Kluyveromyces lactis: one gene and its partners. Each later gene encodes a partner of the first gene's protein in a complex. Links are inferred from orthologs where the notes say so. Each region holds a gene or a part of one and is shown in the gene's direction. Other genes may lie near its edges. The genes, in order: MHR1, MRPL33, MRP7, MRPL49, MRPL15, MRPL35 and MRPL51.

Region 1 (2,512 bases):
CAGGATCTCATCTCCCATATTCCGACCTGATCCATGGATGCGACGAATACCGTGCATGGAGCAAACTTTAAGGACTTACTCATTTTATTGTAAAATTCTCTAGAAGGTTTCCAATATTTCACATCCTTGTCTTCCTCTATATTTCTATGCTGCCTGATATGATTTTTTCGGTCCATTGAGATAACCTTACCTGGTGCTACTGTACAGGGTCCGAAAACAAATGCAATGGATTGTGATGGGTTTAGACATTGTGCTAGAAAAATAGCGAGTGCAGTGTTTCTTCTACATCTTTTTTTTGACCTAGTCCGTTGACATAGAAGTTCCGCGAGTTTAGCACCGAAAGATATTTGGTCCGTCCAAATCTTCCTCACTAAAAGCCCATACTTTGCAATGAACCATTCTGTGTCAAGCTTCTTAAGATGGCTGATACAACTACTAGATTCTGCATCTACGGTAATGTGTGACCCGTCAGTATGAATAGTGACAGACCCATCTTCAATCGTGATCAGGGCCAATGACTGGACAGAACCAAATTGTAACATCTTCAACGCGTCTAGATTTTCCTCAAATTCACAATTAAGATCGATGATTATGGCGAACTTGGAATGCGTAGGCACAGCAGCAGTTCCTAAATGTTTTAGGTATGACGATGATAATGGAATATTCCCTAGTTCATTATAAGCATTACAAAAAGAACAAAACCACCCAGCTCGTGAATCTCTTGAACATAAAAAATTCGCAAACCCTCCACAGATTTTACAATTGGTATAATTCTCACTGCTTGCTAGGCTTGAATTCCCGTCAATTGTCAAGTCCGGCTCACAAATGGCACTTATCGATCCACGGTTATCATCTCCACAATCGAGAACTCTAGCTAAGCAATCTGTCCGGGACGTAGGAACGGCTCCATAATTCAATTCAAACATCAAGTTCTAGATGGTGGAATATGCGGACACTTGACGGATGAAGGTGATAACTCTACTGTGCGTGTCTGCTGATAGGAAAACCTTTCTCTGGAGATGAGATCCAAGATAAGATAGAGCAGGTAGCGGAGAATTCAATATCATCACAAGATCCGGGTAATGTATATATTAGGTTCATTCTCTTTAATTTTCAGTGTTTCTACGAAGTTGTTTATGGCATCTGAAAAAGCTGAAAAATTTTGAAAAAGAGAAAGCTGATAGTTAGTTTAGCTTGATTACAGAAGAGATCACCACATTTGTGCACACATTGTATTTAAATAACTCTTCAGAAGTCCATCAATAGCACTGGAGATAGAAGAGAACTCTGAGGATCAAGGCTTTTGTTGTTAACAAATAAGGCTTGAAGACACCATAGGGCACTAGGAAGAGATGAGCAAGCATTTAGCTATTACCAAGTTCCGTCCAGCCAACTGGCTACAGAAAGCAGGGTATGCACCACAAGTCTTTTTATTCAGAAACCTAGAGAGTGGACAAGTGCTGTACTCTCAATTCCCGACTTTTTCTTGGAAGCAAATTGATACCAATTTCCAAAGACCCAACTGGGAGAATAAGAAACCAAGCACCAGACGTGATATTTGGAAATGTATGGCTGTTGTTGATCTACCAGACTACGACAAGAGTGTAAAAGTATACCAGAATTTGTGCAGATTAAGATATCTCCGTGATGTGACATTCAGTAAACAGGCAAAAGACATGAGAAAGAAGAATGAGTCCGGCCACACATGGTACTCATCGCAATACAGACCAACATACTCTCAAGAAGCGGTTGCCGATTTGCGAGAATGTCTCCTAAAGTTGAAAGACGTCCAATCGTCCATTAAGGTCCATTGGGAAGACGAATGGAGAATGGGGGATAAAGAGAAATACTGGAACCCAGTATTGCCAGAGTTGAATCACACAACACTAGAACGTTTGGGGAACGTTTCCAGAGAGGAAAGTGCAATTTTGAAAGAACTAGGCGAAAGAGCCAAAGAAGAGTTCGCAAGAGTGAGACAACAGGAGTCAGCTGCTCAAAACATCTCTCTATGAGTTACAAAAGAAAACAAGCAAATACAAACTATTTCCAGTTGCAAAAGCTGAGCCGAGCTCAGATCTTTCACTGCTTCACTCGTCACGTCTTTAAGAAATCACTACATGTACATATATAACCCGCAGACAATCCGACTCTGTAAATAATATAAACAAACCCTCAGCTCACTACCGGCGTTTAACTGATTTGACAAGGTGATTACTAGCAGTTTTCTCCCTTGTTTCCATCATCACGTAACCTAAATATCAAAGGTTCTGTAATCATCATATTACTTCCTCTACTTTTCTACCGCTTCATACCATATGTGTCTCATGCATGCATTAACGCCTAACGGAAGAAGAAGCAGGAACCCGGACACCAAAGAAAAAGCAAAAAAAATGTCACATGACCAAATTTGAGAAACCTTAACACCGTTTCTCTGGTTTTCTCTGGTGTTTCTTTAACGACAATCCTGTTTTCCCTTAGAGGCTTCGGGTTTTTCTTAGTTTTTCTAGCATAA
Region 2 (2,158 bases), about 340 kb from region 1:
ACCAATAATTATACCACTGACTTTGGTGTCTGGATATTTTTCTAGCACTTTCTTTTTAAACTTCAAAGAAAGCAACATGCCAACATTTTTGGTAGTTGTTCTTGGTTCAATGGCACCTGTTGTTTCTTTGTCGTAGTCAATTAACATCTTATCTGTCATATCAAATAGATCTTCTTTCCAAGCAATTAATACTCCGTGGTTTTTGGTAGGATTAAAATGGAATTGACACATGTAACCTAGTTTTGTGAACTCCATTTTCCAGAAAGACTTGTATTGAACCGTGTCAATTTCTTGCAAACACAGTACGTCAACATTGTAATATTTGAATTCATTGAGTAAAACTTGAGATCTTTTAAACCATTTAACAGCATTTCCGCTCGTAGGAAACAGTGTTCTTCTAATCAAAGCTTGGGCAAGACAATTATACGTCATTATACTGATTGGACATACCTCTCTCGTCGATTGGCCTGATGAATCTCGAGGAACAGCTAACATCGGCCTTTTGATAAATCTAAGGTCTGCGGGCAATTTTGGATCTATACCTTGAGCAATAAGAGCCTCTTTTTTTGCTATTTTCGCAGCTTCTCTCTTAGCTCGCATCTCAGCGATATACTCTGGAGTGATCTCATTCAAGGCCTTGCCTTTTTTCTTACTTTTCTTGTCCTTTACTTTATTCTTACCTTCTACCTTCAACTGGTCCATCCCATCAGTAATCGATAGCTTTTTTGCTTGTTCCACAAGCTCTTTTGGAACGTCTTTGACGCCGGTGTCTTGCGTACTACCAGCCATATTGGCTCAAATTATTACTTCTACTTTGCAGTGTATAGTGGCGATATAAACCTTAGAGAGATCTAACCAACCATGGCGTTAAGAGCTTGTTAATATGATATATATATATATTATTCAATCGGGCATAAATATTGGAAAAAAAGAAATGACATATATATATATATATATATACATAACCAAGCAAATGCCCCTCCTAAGACAATTTCAATGCAACTTCATATTCAGGAAGAAATATTCAAACAGCGAGATATAATCTTGAGATCTTTATATGCAATTCCTGGTTCTTTCTCAGTAGGTAGCACTTTCCTGCGACGGTTTGTGAGAAGTGCCCAAATGACATACGCGATGAGCTGCTAGACAATATACATCACATGATATCACTTTATACGTTTTGATGCTATTTGAAAAATCAATGTACGTTGGCTATTAATGGTTTGAATACCCAGTTAATCTCTTCGATAATGATGCACAAGATCTCTTAAAAGAGCGTTTTTTTTTGACATAGTTCTCTATATTGTCAACGAAACTTACGACCGAGGAAATTATACTTCATTACTGGTATTAGCGAACGGTTTCTAAAAGCATAGCTATCATAATAATTTTCAAAGATAGCCATGGTTTTCTACAGAATTACATTACAGAGGTCAGTCATTGGTACTCCACAGAAGACTAGGGCAGTGGTCAAGAGTTTAGGACTCGGAAAAAGAGGATCTGTCGCATATCAACCAGCTACACCATCTATTGCAGGTGCTGTCGCTCAGATAAAGGAGCTTGTGAGCGTTGAGCTTGCCGATAAAGCTTTAAGTAAGGCAGAACAGCGTGAGCTAAGAAAATCAAATCCTGGATTTACTGTCGAAAAGAGAGTATAGAAAGGATCATACCAGACAATATAACAAACAAAGCAATGTACCAGAAACATTTAACAGAGAAGAAACTGGGCTCACAATGAACATCTTCTGTTTTACATAAAGAAAAGGATATTAGGATTTTCATGTATATAGAGATCAAAGAAATATTAATCTTATTCTAATGAGGTATTTGAGAGTATCATATACCAAACGTCTTTATTTAGAAGACACCGGTGACTTCTCTGGTGAGAATATTCCTAGGCTGTTTCACGTATTCGTCGTCACCATCTTCACCATATTCATCATCGTCAAATGCCACCGAGAACGAATCTACAATTCTGAAGATATCATTTTTATTCATAGCTTTTCCATCAAAACTTAGTTCTATACTGTCATTTGCCGAAAAGAATTGATTTTCTTGAGCCAGCAATTGATCAACTCTATTGTACAAATGTTTTGTTTTAGGTCTTTGTGGTAACCTTTGAACACTCATATTCTGGGAGATATATTTGCTCAAAACA
Region 3 (3,055 bases), on another chromosome or scaffold:
ATTTAATGTTCTTTCATAATTTTTTTTTCTTTATTGTTACAGGCTATGGAAAATTACATACATTTCGTGAACGTGATATAATTAAGAAACTCATCGTCTAGAGGGGAAAGGAAGAACTAATCTTCTTTCCACCTCAGTCTCCTTGTCTATTTCCTCTTCACCGTCGAATCGTAGCTTACATGTCCCATCTCTTTTGCTTCCGCAAACAATAGCTGGATAGAAAGTCGTTGTTTCTGGATATCTTGCCAAAACTTTTGTATTCGCTGGATAATTCGGAGTCTGGGTTCTTTTCATAGTCACGGGCGGGATCAAGAGGATCTCTTTCGAGTTACATTTGAATATACCACCTGGTTTCCCAAATTCATCGGGTTCTGGATCTTTCACTTCAAACCGGAGTCCGTCCCCAGAAACTTTTGTGCATATGCACTGGATCCATTCGCCAGTCTTTTTAGATTTATATGCAACTTCGGAACCAACCTCAATTGGTTCACTTGGGTTGAATTGACTGGTCCAATGTGATCTACCAACAACACTCGATTCAGGGATATGCGTCGAACTGGATTCCTCCTTTAATATAGGTTCCTCTTCCACTGGATAATTATCTAATATGTATGAAATGTTCTCTACCAAATCTCTGCAGTAATTTCTCATCTTTTCATTTACAGACTGACGAGCCTCTAATTTCTCATGGATATCAGCCAATTGATTCAAATTCATATTCTGGAAATTCATATTCTTCGGATCTAAAGACTCAAACCCCGCAATATCTCCTATTTTATATAGATCTTGTAATTGAGTCACGGCAAGACCCCATCTATCTTCCGTTGCCATTTTCGCTAGAATCACTGATATATTTTGTTTTATTTTTTTTTTATCTATGGGCTGTCGGTTCTTAGTATTCCTATTTCAATTAGATAATATGGGCTTCACCAGCACGATAATTAATTTGGGAAACTTCTATAAATGGACGTCCTGTTTATTCAAACGTAAATCTGAAAGGTGAAGACTTCTTTTCGATGCAAGCAGTGTCGGTTTCTTGATGTTTTGTACTTAGAGAAATATGAGTTTTTCGTGCTGGAAGAGAACATCAAAACGTATATAGTGATGGTAGATCTTTAATTGGAACCTCAGTTTCGAATAACTTTGACGTGAATTAGACGTTTACTCCTTCTCAAGCATGAAAAATTCACTATGGTATCGAAAGAACTCTCAGCAATAGATGAAATTGGTAAAATGTATAAATCAATACTTTCAACTCTTAAACAGTCAGTTACACGAACCTTCGAAGGGCTATATCTTGTTGGATTTCGTTGTTACCCTACCTTACAATCCGCCATACTGTGGAAAATTTTTGTCACTAAAATCCTATCTTAAATACATTAAGTACAGATACACGCAGAAATACAGTTACTGTGACATTGCTTGATACTGTTCGGACCAGGCCTACGAAACAACGCATAATGTTCTCATCTTCGTGGCAACAAGTTCCCAAGTTTGTGGTGCAGCAGGTGCGTACTGCAACCAAGCGTGCAGCAGGTTCTCGTACCAGTATGAAGGACTCTGCTGGTCGTAGATTGGGTCCAAAAAAATACGAGGGTCAAGCCACTCAAGTTGGTGAGATCATCATGAGACAACGTGGTACCAAGTTTTATCCTGGTGAAAATGTAGGCATCGGTAAAGATCATACGCTTTTCGCTTTGGAGCCGGGTTATGTGAGATACTATTTGGATCCATTTCATCCAGGTAAGAAATTCATTGGTGTATCATTATACAAGGATGTAAAGCTTCCTTTGCCGCATTTCGAACCACGTTTGAGAAGATTCGGCAAGGCCATCATTGAGGATGAAGAGAAAGCCATTGCAGAAGAGAACGCTTTACCAAGAAAGATTTATTTGCTGAAGGATGAATTGATCAAGAAACAGCAAGAACGTGAGATTAAACGTGAAGAGTTGAAGGCAGAATACAGCAAGATAATTTCAGATCTGAAAGTTGAGCTGGATCAACAAGAACTTGCGTTTGCATTACCATATTTGCTCAGATGGAGAACTTGTTTGAAGAATGGGTTCAATGAATCCGATGCCCGATTTAATTCGTACTACTATTTGGAACAAGAACTTAAATTGAAGATGAGAAACCAAGAAAAATCTAAGTTGGACGACAAACTAACATTGTTGAAACAGGTCTCGACCAAATTGAATGAATCATTGTCATTTAACAACAAGCTTGAATTAACTAAATACATTTCTCCAGAAGAAAAGAATACTCTAAAGACACAACTAATTACTGATTTGAAGGCAATTGATATTAAGGACAAGAACAGTAAGAAGCAAGTACTAGCCAAGTTTACTGATGCAAAGAACTTCTTGACGTTATCTGAAGAGGTGAGACTACGCAGAAAATTCTTGAAGCCAGTGAAACCAGAAACAGAATTGAAGAAATTGGAAGAACCACTCAAACCTTCCAAGAAAAATCTAACCACCAGACGTTACAACTACGAACAAAACACGATAGATGTCATTACAAGACCAAAGACCGATTTCTTGAGCAAATTGTAAATCTTCCCCAAGTCGTTACGTAACAAACCATTTAGAGCCTTGTACATATTAACAAAAGAACCACAACAATCATCATAGTTTAAACTGAAAAAAACGAAAGTTTTTTAGAGACTATATATCATTTGGAAAGGTTAATTCCATATTATATCGTTAACGTATTTAATTTGTCTATATGTGTGAGACAAAATCCAAAACATACTCTTACATTACTATTTTTTTGATATTGGATTGTTTTGAGGTACAAAACTATGGCAGGTGAGCCCTTTGGATCAACCAGGAGGCAATTGAGAGATATCAACGATGTCATTCATCTTGCTTTGAGCATCATCTTCATCACCGACAGATAAATGGGTTCTTGGTAGAGCCATCATACCTGATCTTGCCACTTCCAAGATACCGAAAGGTTCCACAAGTTTCAAGAATGCAGAGATACGGGATGGTTTAGCACATAATTCCACAATACAACTTTGTTCAGCGATATCAACAATCTTACCACCAAA
Region 4 (2,241 bases), on another chromosome or scaffold:
CTCTGTTTATCGTTAGTTCAAGTAGTAATAATATTAATAATAGTAATAGTAATAATAACATACGAGTAACACTAATTCAAATCTTAATTCTCATGTCATCAATACATACTGCAATTTGTTAATTTGGGTATTGTTGGATTTCTCTTCCTTTTCGTCTCAATGCATCACTTAATTTTATGAATCTGAAACCATGAATTCTTGTTATTGACAAAAACTGGTCTGTTTAGAACCGAACTGGATCTTAATAAATTGAACCCCGAAGTCCAAAGAGCCCACCAATACACTTTCACACCCAATGGCATCATCTAAGGCTTCTATCTTCTCCTTCCTTCCTCTTTACAACCTACTTTCTGCTTCTGCCTGGGCTTATGTCCTATATCAAGTCGTGACCCTTTACCCAAAGATCGGTCAACCAAGTTTCTTTATTGCTACCAAGGATTTAGTCACGTACGTTCAATGCGGTGCTATAATTGAAGTCACAAATTCTTTGTTTGGAATAGTCCGTGCTCCGCTAGTGACCACTGCTGCTCAAGTGGCCTCTCGACTCTTGGTAGTCATCGGTATCTTCCAGTATGTGCCGGAAGCAGAAAATGCGCATAAAATATATTACATCACGTTGTTGTCGGCATGGTGTATTGCTGAAATAGTGAGGTACATGTTCTACTTCTTCAACTTGGTGGCTCAAGCGCCTACTGTACTTGTTGTATTGAGATATAACATGTTTTACGTGCTATATCCATTGGGCGTCGGCAGCGAATTGTTCATAATTTATTCTGCATTGCCGTTGGCTGAAGCAAAATACAATATCTTGTACAAGTATTTCTTAATTGCAGGTATGCTAGCCTACATTCCAGGGTTCCCGGTGCTATTCTCACACATGGTTGCCCAAAGAAGGAAGGTCATGAGATCCTTGAACGGTGATAAACGCAAATCTGCATGAATTGTCACAGGATTAAAAGAATAGTTTGACTCATGTATAAAAGTTCTGTAACATTTGTAACATACCCGAATGAATGCACAAATGAAACGACGCTGTCCCTTGGCGTGGCCGTTGGCTCTTCCTTCTCATGACTGTGTGTGTGCCCTACTTTTCACGTCACGTCACGTGACTGACATCAACACTTAACTCTCGAAGGCTCAAAAAATTTTCTGTTGAAACAGTATACGACTAGTTGAACAACATTTAAGACAAGTGAGAAGAAGCAGATTGAAAGGGCTATTGCATCTGCCAATTGTCGTTCGAATCAGTGCAGAAACGATGTTCAAGAATATCAGTCATATGTTTGCCCTCCCAGTAAGGCAAATGGTGGGTTTCAGCCCATTTCTTCAACCTTTGAAGAGAAGTTTCATCAGAACAACACACTCGGTAGCAGAAAAAGCGAAGGTGAATTTAACGCCGTTGAAGTTATCCAATGAGCTATATGCCGTATTCAGAATACACAACAGACCATACTTGGTGACAGAAGGAGATAAGGTTATCTTACCGTTTAAACTGAAGCAAGCAGAGGTCGGCGATGTGCTAAATTTGACTGATGTGACTACCATTGGTTCTCGTAACTTCAAGCTCGTGGACGAACCTATTGATCCATCTCTATACACTATTAAGGCTACAGTTCTTGAGAAGACAAAACGCCCGCTTAGAGTGAGAGAAGTTACCAAGAGAAGAAACAGGAAAGTGCGTCATGCGGTCAATAAAGCCGATTTGACTATTCTGAGAATATCCGAGCTAAAAGTCAATTAATGAACTAACCCTCCTACAAAATCGTGTAAATAAAAGTTTAATATAATGTTAGGTCGTTATAGATCGATTAGAAATACTATACCATCTAGTAACTATGTTTTAGTGGCAGCATCTCATCGAATTTGTTAGAAACGTTTACCGTTTTAGAGAATAGATATAAATTCAAATAGAAACAATTGTAATTAATACCATTTTAATCGTTAATAAAGAGGGGAGAAAGACGATAAGAGAAGAGCTTAGTGCAACAATTACTGGGTATCGATACTTTAGTATCTGATAAGTAAAGTCCCGCTAAATATAGATGAACCGTGGATGATATGTCTTTCTTGAAGAAGAAGAGTAGCACTGCTGGACATTCAAGGTCAGGATCTGCCTCATCTATACTCAACAAACATGTTGATCCTGCCAATATCAGTGAGTTTTATCCATCGTCATTGGATCACAAGGTGACCAGTGGTTTGAAGAACGATTATAGTTTTGATTCCAGCAGCAAGGGATCC
Region 5 (2,526 bases), about 630 kb from region 1:
TCTGGTTCGCAAGTTCTTTTGTTGGGGATATAATTAAACCTTTAAGACCAACTGTGGTTTTATCGTTGATTATCTGTTGCAGTAGTGGGATCAAAAATGCCAACGTTTTACCAGAACCTGTGGGAGCACAAGCGATCATGTCACGTTCATGCAACAAAATCGGTATAGATTCACTTTGAATCGGAGTTGGTTCAGTGAAGTTATTTTCTATGAGGTTGTTTAACAATCTCTTATCGAATTGGAACCTTGTGATCAAGTCTTCAAAAGAACCGATGGGCAAAGGAACACTATTCCCTGAAACATTCCCTTGATAAGATTTACGTAACTTTAACGCATCTTGTTTCGTGATAATTTTCCCGGATAACTCAGTCTCGTCATCAGCATGATCTTCGTCTTCTTCTTGATTATCTTCTTGTACTTCGTCTTCACCTTCACCTTTGGTTGACTCAGACTTTACCTTATTCATGATTTTCTTATTACGGAAAAAATCCAACTCCTTAGTCAATTGTTGTTCATCTCTAGCTGGTGTACTTGAGCTGCCAGCTGTCTTACTCTTCTTTTCATTAGCCATGCTAAAGTCTGCAGACTGTGTTCTATTAGAATCACCATTCTTCCTTATGCTAGCTCCACGAGTCAAGACTCTAAAGATATCCATGTTAATTAGCGGTGCTAGTATTGGCCTGTGAGAAGTTACTTAGTAATGAGAATAAATTCGATAGTAAACCACTGTGAGTGATATAATCAATCTCTTACTACTCTCTCATCTCATCTCATCTCATCTCATCGCCTACATCTAATTGCAGTTTTTTCAATTAAAATTGATCTTACTGAAGCGTTTCTTTTCACAAAACTTAGGGTACAATAAGTGTAAAAATCGATATAAAAGTACTTCTCAAGGCATAAAGATGCAGCAAAGCTTACTTTAAGATACAGCTGGTATTAAGCCCTCATAATACCAGCCCATAATGACCATATTCCCTTGATAACAGTACCTAATGCCTTGATATTGCATGTATTCCCATCATACAAGATAGCACTTAGACACAGCGATGACCTCGTTTGGAGTGATCTGAAAAATTTTGAAAAATTTCAAAATTTGGATCGCTGCCTCGAGTCGAAAAACTACAAAGAAACAGTTTGAATCGTAGTTAAAAGGACTAAACTGTTAGAATTAAGATTCAATAATTCTAATATTTGTGTCCTGTGTAATTACAATCTGTTGATATTCGGTCGAGGAAGATTGAATTGTGAAAATACCAGACAGAAACCATTCAGACAGTATTTTTTTACTTCTGGAATAATGTCCTTAACCAAAATTGGTCTTAACTTAAGCACAAAATTCGGCGTGCGTAATGGTTCTTATCTACACGTTGGGACTAGGGTACGTGGTTTGAAAAGAGACCCAGTTGAGTCTTTGAAGAATCCACACGGTTTGCACTATGATTCTCTTGTCAAGGATGGCCATGTATCTACTGTTAAGCAAGGTTTGAATTTGGAAAAATATGGTATTGACTTGCCAGACGACATCATTACACAATGTTTGACTCACAAGTCGTTTGCCCAAGGTATTAAACCATACAATCAGAAATTGTCTATTATCGGTGGTCATTTTGTGAAATATCAAGCTTGTCTTCATTCCTTGGGTCTACCTGTTTCTGAAAGGCAACTATCACAAAGCGTACAGTCTGAACCTGTTATTAACGGACTAAATTTCGGTATGCTTGGGAAGGGAAGTTCTAAAATGTTAATATCCAAACAGAGTACGGCTGAATTTTTGCAAAGGAGAAACCTAGATAAATTAGTGTTTTGGAACAAACGAGACACTCAAAAAAGTCACAAATATAACGGTGAGTATACCGTGCTACAAACTGTGCTAAATTCTGTGGTCGGCAGTGTCTATCTATTGCACGGTCAAGACAAGGCCACCGAATACGTGTTGCATGAACTATTCAGCGACAATAGTGATTCCCTAACGAAGATATCTGAAAGTTTGTTAGCAAACAGGGATACGACCGAGAAGTTATAATATTATGTCTAATTTTACACGACAGGAAAGAAAGAGAAATGGAATACACAATAGACTTCGACATCAATAAAAAGCACTCGAGTGAATGGTCTCCATCGGAGTTGGGAAAGAGCTTTCAAAACTTGTATATATATATTTCGAAACGGAAGTTTCAATCACAGCTCTTGGTCAATGTGGTGTTTTAATCTACTCTTTCATCCCTGCTCAATTTCAACGTTTTATTATAATGAATTTACCAAAAGCATGAAAAGCATAACCTTTTAACGACACTCCATCGTCACACTTCAATTAAAAATGAACCTCGAAAGAAACGCGCGCACTGTATATATCTCATGTATCTCTAGAAATATAGACGTACATAAATTTACAACTAAATCTATCATTAATTAAATGTTAACATACAAAATAAAAACAGATTAAGAAAAGTACATAATACAATACATGTATATAAATACATATATAACTTCATAGAAGGGATGTTTTTTGCTGGTAATTTACTT
Region 6 (3,025 bases), on another chromosome or scaffold:
GTAGAATCCAGACATATTAGTCTGAATCATACCCTTATAATCGATCTTCAACACGAATTCATCATCAGATATACTCTCCGGAAATTTCAAGGAAACAACATCGTTCTCTAAATCGAAACTATGGTCCTTCATTCCCAAAGACACAGACCCCTCTTTCAGTTCAACCACCGCAGAAACGATCTCAATGTCCCTCATATTCAATGAAATCATGTCATTGGCATTAACAGTGGACATAATAATACGCACGGATCCGATAAATGAATTGTGCTCAGCATCTAACTCACTCAATTCAATCTCATAATGGTTGGCCCTAAAGTCGGTTGGTAGAGTTTGAATCTTAACGTCAGCCATCTTTCAGTGAATCAGGTATAAACTATTCCAATACCTAATTGGTTCTCTGGATATATCACCCCAGTTGTCTTATATAGTGAAAAATCCAATATGAAATCAAAGAGTAGGTGTCATTCAAAGCTTTATCAAAGGTCTTAAGTGTTATCAATCTGTTTTCGTCAATGTGTCAAAATTTTTTTCTACCTTCCCTGCTGAAAAGCTCAGAAGTGAGCGTAGAAATTTTGATATAAGACGGAGTAGTATGAAAAGAGAAGCTCCTCCATTATCCAGCAGCACAACTGCTCATACGTTTCACCTCTTGTGTAGTTTTGGCAGTAGTTTCTTTGACCTATTAAACATTTTGCGCAGTATTGAAGAAGACCGTCTCTTTAGCTGATCTCCGACATCAGAGTCAATTGAGTCGCTTATATCAGAATCGGAGCTGAACATAGAGGGAAAAGCTCTCTCTGTTGGAGTTTGTGTATCAAACTGCGAGTAAACTTGAAGTTTAGATATTAGTATGGTAACTGCCTCGACATCGTGCCTTAACTCTGTAGAATTCGGTTCTGAACCGTTCATATTTGATTTAATAAGCTTTTGAATATTATACAGGATAATACAGGGAATGAGAAGTAAACCTACAATGCTGATTGGCAAAGGGTCTTTATACCAGGAAAAAGTTGAGGCATCTTGTCTTTACAGATCTGAAACAATGTCGCGATGAGCATTCTCATATAAGATTCGTCGTTTCAAACATAAATGATCATTATAATCCGCATATAGGAAAGGGAAGAAGAAAATATACAAAGAAAGATGGATATGATGGGTTCGCTGGATCAGAAGAGCGTCATTTGCAACATATGAAACCGAATGGCAGTCTCAAAGGCAAAGCTTACCAGTTATTGATCTCTGAACTTCCACTTGGAGCGAGAGGCACGATCTTCTGTTACCCGGACTGAAACACATTAAAATTTTTTGGTGAAAAATCGATTTCGAACGATTCAGATGAGTTTTAAGTATGAACGGACAATGAAGATACATGAATAATCAGTTGTAGGATCCCATTGGAGGGTGTTTCAGAGACTAACAACTCGAATTGGAGAATGTTGCGTAGAGGGTTGCACAGCAGTGCCAAATGTTTAGAGAAAACCGGGGTATGGTCGGACTTTTCTAAGAGATCCAAGTCGCTTGGTTTAGCATCAGAATCGATTAAGAAATACATCTTTCAAGGCGACAGCGATGACGTTAGAAGACGAGGTCCACCGTCTTTGAAGCGGAGGATGAACCGTTTGAAGTATACCTCTCCTGAACATATTGATGAGATGTTCCGCTTGAGTTATGAGTTTATGAGTAAGCGCGCTGAAGAGAAGTATTCGCAACTAGAAAATGAGACTGATGCCAAGGTACGTGCTAAGTTAGAAACAGAGGCTGAATTGCATAACCCAGAGGTCCAATACAATTTTCAGTATCATGACAAGTTAGAGAACGATACTAGAGTGATAGATTATGCTGTTCCAGTGTACAGGCGTTTGGGGCTGAAGCATTGGGAATCCTACGAAAAAATGTTGTTAATGCAAAGACTAGAGACTTTGAGTGTAATCCCCGATACGTTACCTACTTTACAACCAAGAGTACAGGTTAATTTACGTTTCCCATTCAGTACTGGTGTGAACAAATGGGTTGAACCTGGTGAAATTTTGTCCTCCAACACGACTTCGATGGTTCCAACAATTAAGATTCAAGAGTACGAGAACGGTATCGACTTCGAAAAGCAAAAATACACTGTGGTAATTGTGAATCCAGATGAACCGGATGTGTTGAATGATACATTCAAGACGACTTTGGCGTTCGGTTTGACTAATTTAAAGATAGACTATAACGACAACGTGGTAGATCCAAGAAAATACAATGAATCGCAGATTCTTGCAGATTACATTCCTCCAGTACCTGAGAAAAATGTTGGCAAGCAAAGGTTCTCTGTATGGGTATTCAGACAGAATGGTGATTTGGAATCCCCTGAACCAGTCGATAGAGAAAACTTCGATATTAGAGAATTTGTTCGTTCCCACAACTTGGACCCGGTTGGTGCTCATGTTTGGAGATCAGAATGGGATTCTAACGTGGCAAACATTAGAGAGAAATACGGATTACCAGAAGGGAGAGTGTTCCATAGAGTTCGTAGATCTGTTGTATGAAAAAAAAAATGAAAGTTTCCAGAAAGAGTTTATTTCCTCCTCGTCTCTCTCGCGATATATATGATTACACACTTTTCAACAACCTCAGGTGGTCTGAATAATATCTCATACCTCATGTAAATAATATGCAATGTAGAAAATCAATGCAACATACGCAAATCATAAAAAAAACTAAAAAGCTTGTTCGAATCTATTAAGAATATGATCATTAGTTAACATTTATTCCCGGTAACATAATAAATTATATAGTAATAATACGGTGTATGGTGCGTGCGTTCATGTGCGTCTGTTTTTTTGGACTGCCTCTGATTGAATATTTTCCTAGAGGCTATATATAGAATCTTCTTTTTTTTTGGCTGTTTCTTCTTCATATGTTATTGTATTGGCTGTAAATCTAATCGTAACAAAAAAAAGGATTCGTGAGGTCTTTCGTTCTTAGTCGAGGAAAGCAGATATAACTCTTGTTGTCATCATTTCTTGTTGACTACCAGAATTCAAAC
Region 7 (2,110 bases), on another chromosome or scaffold:
GGTGTTCAATCTTTAATTAATCTGAAGGAAAACTATGTATATTAAGAATTCTTCAATGACATGAAATAAAGGTGCAAGTAAAAGGTATGAAAATGGTAGTAAAAAAGTGCCATTTGCTGCCCTTCTTATATAATACAAATGTTACTTTGGACACGCTAATAAACTCTTAACACCTTATAAGTATTTACCGTTGATGAATTACCAAGTTCCAGTTAATTAGTATGGTATTCTTCTGCTTTTTTCCCTAAATTTTTTTGTCGCATTTTATACTGCATCGTTGAAACGCTTCAGTGAACGCCGTAATAAATTAAAGAAACGGATACAAACCTTGACTGTTCGCTACTTACAAGTGAATGTTTTTTAGGGGTGGTCATCGTTATACGCATCCTTAAAAAAACGCATAGAACTTTAATTTTTCAATAGTTATAGGGACATTATACGCACCATAATGATAAACTGGTGACTATTATGGCAATACATTTGCCTGTTCTTGAACAAAGTGTCATACACTTACATCACACTTAATAGGGAGTGCCCAGTTAATTGGTTTAAATGACGCATGTGCATAATTTTTTTAACAAATTACTAGTGTGCATCCAACATACGCTAGGTGTCAATCCGTACATTCCATGGGTGAACGCAAATCAGGCCCTTTATTTAATTAACCTCATATGAAGCCTTTGGGACATCTTGGATCAGAATCTGGGGCCTCTATCGTACTTTCTATGGATTTGCTCAGTAAAAGTACCCTTAACCAAACGCTGGTAGTGCATTATTGTCATAACCCATCGACAGATCATCAAGTTTACATGACGTATGACATCTCATGAGGATGTGTTGACATAGCAATGTGAAAGAAACAGAATATAGTCGGAAAGAGGTTCTGTATTATTTACATTCGTCACCTTATAGCAGTGTTGGTACCAGTATCTTTTTCATTTGTGTGAGCATGTGGTGAATTGTCCTCCTACCTTCGAATACATACAGATTTGTTCACGTGACTGATGGTCTTTTGAAATTGGAAAAAAATAATCATGAACTGAAAACTCGAATAAAACTCAAAAGATATATTAGTGAATCTATGTTCTGCATCTGAAGGATCTCTCCACAGTTTCAAAATACACCCAACTTGTTTTCTAATCAGAGCTGGTACCCGCGGTCATAAAGATTTCTCTGAAGTAATGGTTGTTAAAGTTTTGAGACAAACTTCTATCGCAAGAAATGGTGTTGGCGCTTTTGTGCTTCCATGTAAAAAGATCACTTTGCAATACTGTAATTGGGGTGGTTCCTCACAGGGTTTGAGAGATTTCCTAACGTCTAACAGAATGATTCAATGGGCTGAAAAATATCCAACAATACAGTTCGAAATAGTAAGAAAGTCTGGCCATCCAGTTATAAAAGGTGACTATGTTAATGGCCGTAATAAAGCCATCTGCGTAAAAAATCTGAACATTGATAATGTAGAGAATAAGTTAAAACTAATCAGAGACGCATCTGGTGAGCAACTCCGTCACAGAACTAAGAACGACAATGTGGATACTTTGAACGATAGTGTGAGAGGTATCTGGTCTCCACTACATTTAAGCCCAGCCATCAGACACAAGGTTTGAATCGAAAAAATGACTTGTGAATGGTAATATCGAGATCATAGCTTAACTTGTACATATATATAGCAATATCCTCGATGAAGCCGATACCTAAGTAAACAACCTACGATGTTGAATATTACTACGCAATTAATAAAAAAGAAGATCTATACTAATTTTTCATTTACTATATTATATGATATTATCGTATATTATATATGCAAAGGGCTCCATTCAAGCTGATGCTTTGTATTCTCTAAGAACCACGGGAACAGAAGATGGTGGCAACGAACCAAATTCTGTAATGATCTTCTTGATGTAGTCAGGGGGTGTTAAATCGTACATTATATTGAAGATGTGCAAATTAGGTGATTTCTCCCACTCTGCTAGTATTGGTTTATCCTTGACATTCTTACCTTCGTCGGCAGTAGCATTATTGGTATTAGCACTGCCAGATTTATTATTTTGCTTAGAGCTATTCTCGACTTCCTTCTGCTGCGCTTCACGCTCTTTGATAAATTGCT

What was found.
Region 2: MHR1 (region 1) and MRPL33 share a complex: the UniProt entries of both Saccharomyces cerevisiae proteins name them as parts of the mitochondrial large ribosomal subunit. The link is inferred for Kluyveromyces lactis from reciprocal best matches to the Saccharomyces cerevisiae genes MHR1 and MRPL33.
Region 3: MHR1 (region 1) and MRP7 share a complex: the UniProt entries of both Saccharomyces cerevisiae proteins name them as parts of the mitochondrial large ribosomal subunit. The link is inferred for Kluyveromyces lactis from reciprocal best matches to the Saccharomyces cerevisiae genes MHR1 and MRP7.
Region 4: MHR1 (region 1) and MRPL49 share a complex: the UniProt entries of both Saccharomyces cerevisiae proteins name them as parts of the mitochondrial large ribosomal subunit. The link is inferred for Kluyveromyces lactis from reciprocal best matches to the Saccharomyces cerevisiae genes MHR1 and MRPL49.
Region 5: MHR1 (region 1) and MRPL15 share a complex: the UniProt entries of both Saccharomyces cerevisiae proteins name them as parts of the mitochondrial large ribosomal subunit. The link is inferred for Kluyveromyces lactis from reciprocal best matches to the Saccharomyces cerevisiae genes MHR1 and MRPL15.
Region 6: MHR1 (region 1) and MRPL35 share a complex: the UniProt entries of both Saccharomyces cerevisiae proteins name them as parts of the mitochondrial large ribosomal subunit. The link is inferred for Kluyveromyces lactis from reciprocal best matches to the Saccharomyces cerevisiae genes MHR1 and MRPL35.
Region 7: MHR1 (region 1) and MRPL51 share a complex: the UniProt entries of both Saccharomyces cerevisiae proteins name them as parts of the mitochondrial large ribosomal subunit. The link is inferred for Kluyveromyces lactis from reciprocal best matches to the Saccharomyces cerevisiae genes MHR1 and MRPL51.

What each region holds. Positions count from the first base shown.
Region 1 is NC_006039.1:893,436-895,947, reverse strand, and holds MHR1 (mitochondrial 54S ribosomal protein mL67), read left to right. Parts: upstream 1-1,352; coding exon 1,353-2,012; downstream 2,013-2,512. Other genes in the region: GTPase-activating protein NEL1, read right to left, coding at 1-926. UniProt on the Saccharomyces cerevisiae protein: Component of the mitochondrial ribosome (mitoribosome), a dedicated translation machinery responsible for the synthesis of mitochondrial genome-encoded proteins, including at least some of the essential transmembrane subunits of the mitochondrial respiratory chain.
Region 2 is NC_006039.1:553,255-555,412, forward strand, and holds MRPL33 (mitochondrial 54S ribosomal protein uL30m), read left to right. Parts: upstream 1-1,403; coding exon 1,404-1,658; downstream 1,659-2,158. Other genes in the region: NGL2 (RNA exonuclease), read right to left, coding at 1-789; KLLA0_C06292g (uncharacterized protein), read right to left, coding at 1,858-2,158. UniProt on the Saccharomyces cerevisiae protein: Component of the mitochondrial ribosome (mitoribosome), a dedicated translation machinery responsible for the synthesis of mitochondrial genome-encoded proteins, including at least some of the essential transmembrane subunits of the mitochondrial respiratory chain.
Region 3 is NC_006042.1:1,140,011-1,143,065, reverse strand, and holds MRP7 (mitochondrial 54S ribosomal protein bL27m), read left to right. Parts: upstream 1-1,460; coding exon 1,461-2,555; downstream 2,556-3,055. Other genes in the region: SGF29 (Sgf29p), read right to left, coding at 91-831; ILV6 (acetolactate synthase regulatory subunit), read right to left, coding at 2,825-3,055. UniProt on the Saccharomyces cerevisiae protein: Component of the mitochondrial ribosome (mitoribosome), a dedicated translation machinery responsible for the synthesis of mitochondrial genome-encoded proteins, including at least some of the essential transmembrane subunits of the mitochondrial respiratory chain.
Region 4 is NC_006042.1:1,309,063-1,311,303, forward strand, and holds MRPL49 (mitochondrial 54S ribosomal protein bL21m), read left to right. Parts: upstream 1-1,258; coding exon 1,259-1,741; downstream 1,742-2,241. Other genes in the region: enoyl-CoA hydratase PHS1, read left to right, coding at 296-940; mitogen-activated protein kinase kinase kinase BCK1, read left to right, coding at 2,059-2,241. UniProt on the Saccharomyces cerevisiae protein: Component of the mitochondrial ribosome (mitoribosome), a dedicated translation machinery responsible for the synthesis of mitochondrial genome-encoded proteins, including at least some of the essential transmembrane subunits of the mitochondrial respiratory chain.
Region 5 is NC_006039.1:1,528,070-1,530,595, reverse strand, and holds MRPL15 (mitochondrial 54S ribosomal protein mL57), read left to right. Parts: upstream 1-1,300; coding exon 1,301-2,026; downstream 2,027-2,526. Other genes in the region: RNA-dependent ATPase ROK1, read right to left, coding at 1-655; KLLA0_C17380g (uncharacterized protein), read right to left, coding at 2,521-2,526. UniProt on the Saccharomyces cerevisiae protein: Component of the mitochondrial ribosome (mitoribosome), a dedicated translation machinery responsible for the synthesis of mitochondrial genome-encoded proteins, including at least some of the essential transmembrane subunits of the mitochondrial respiratory chain.
Region 6 is NC_006040.1:1,119,512-1,122,536, forward strand, and holds MRPL35 (mitochondrial 54S ribosomal protein mL38), read left to right. Parts: upstream 1-1,433; coding exon 1,434-2,525; downstream 2,526-3,025. Other genes in the region: KLLA0_D13068g (M1 family metallopeptidase), read right to left, coding at 1-351; KLLA0_D13079g (uncharacterized protein), read right to left, coding at 643-909. UniProt on the Saccharomyces cerevisiae protein: Component of the mitochondrial ribosome (mitoribosome), a dedicated translation machinery responsible for the synthesis of mitochondrial genome-encoded proteins, including at least some of the essential transmembrane subunits of the mitochondrial respiratory chain.
Region 7 is NC_006042.1:776,644-778,753, reverse strand, and holds MRPL51 (mitochondrial 54S ribosomal protein mL43), read left to right. Parts: upstream 1-1,181; coding exon 1,182-1,610; downstream 1,611-2,110. Other genes in the region: GCD2 (translation initiation factor eIF2B subunit delta), read right to left, coding at 1,821-2,110. UniProt on the Saccharomyces cerevisiae protein: Component of the mitochondrial ribosome (mitoribosome), a dedicated translation machinery responsible for the synthesis of mitochondrial genome-encoded proteins, including at least some of the essential transmembrane subunits of the mitochondrial respiratory chain.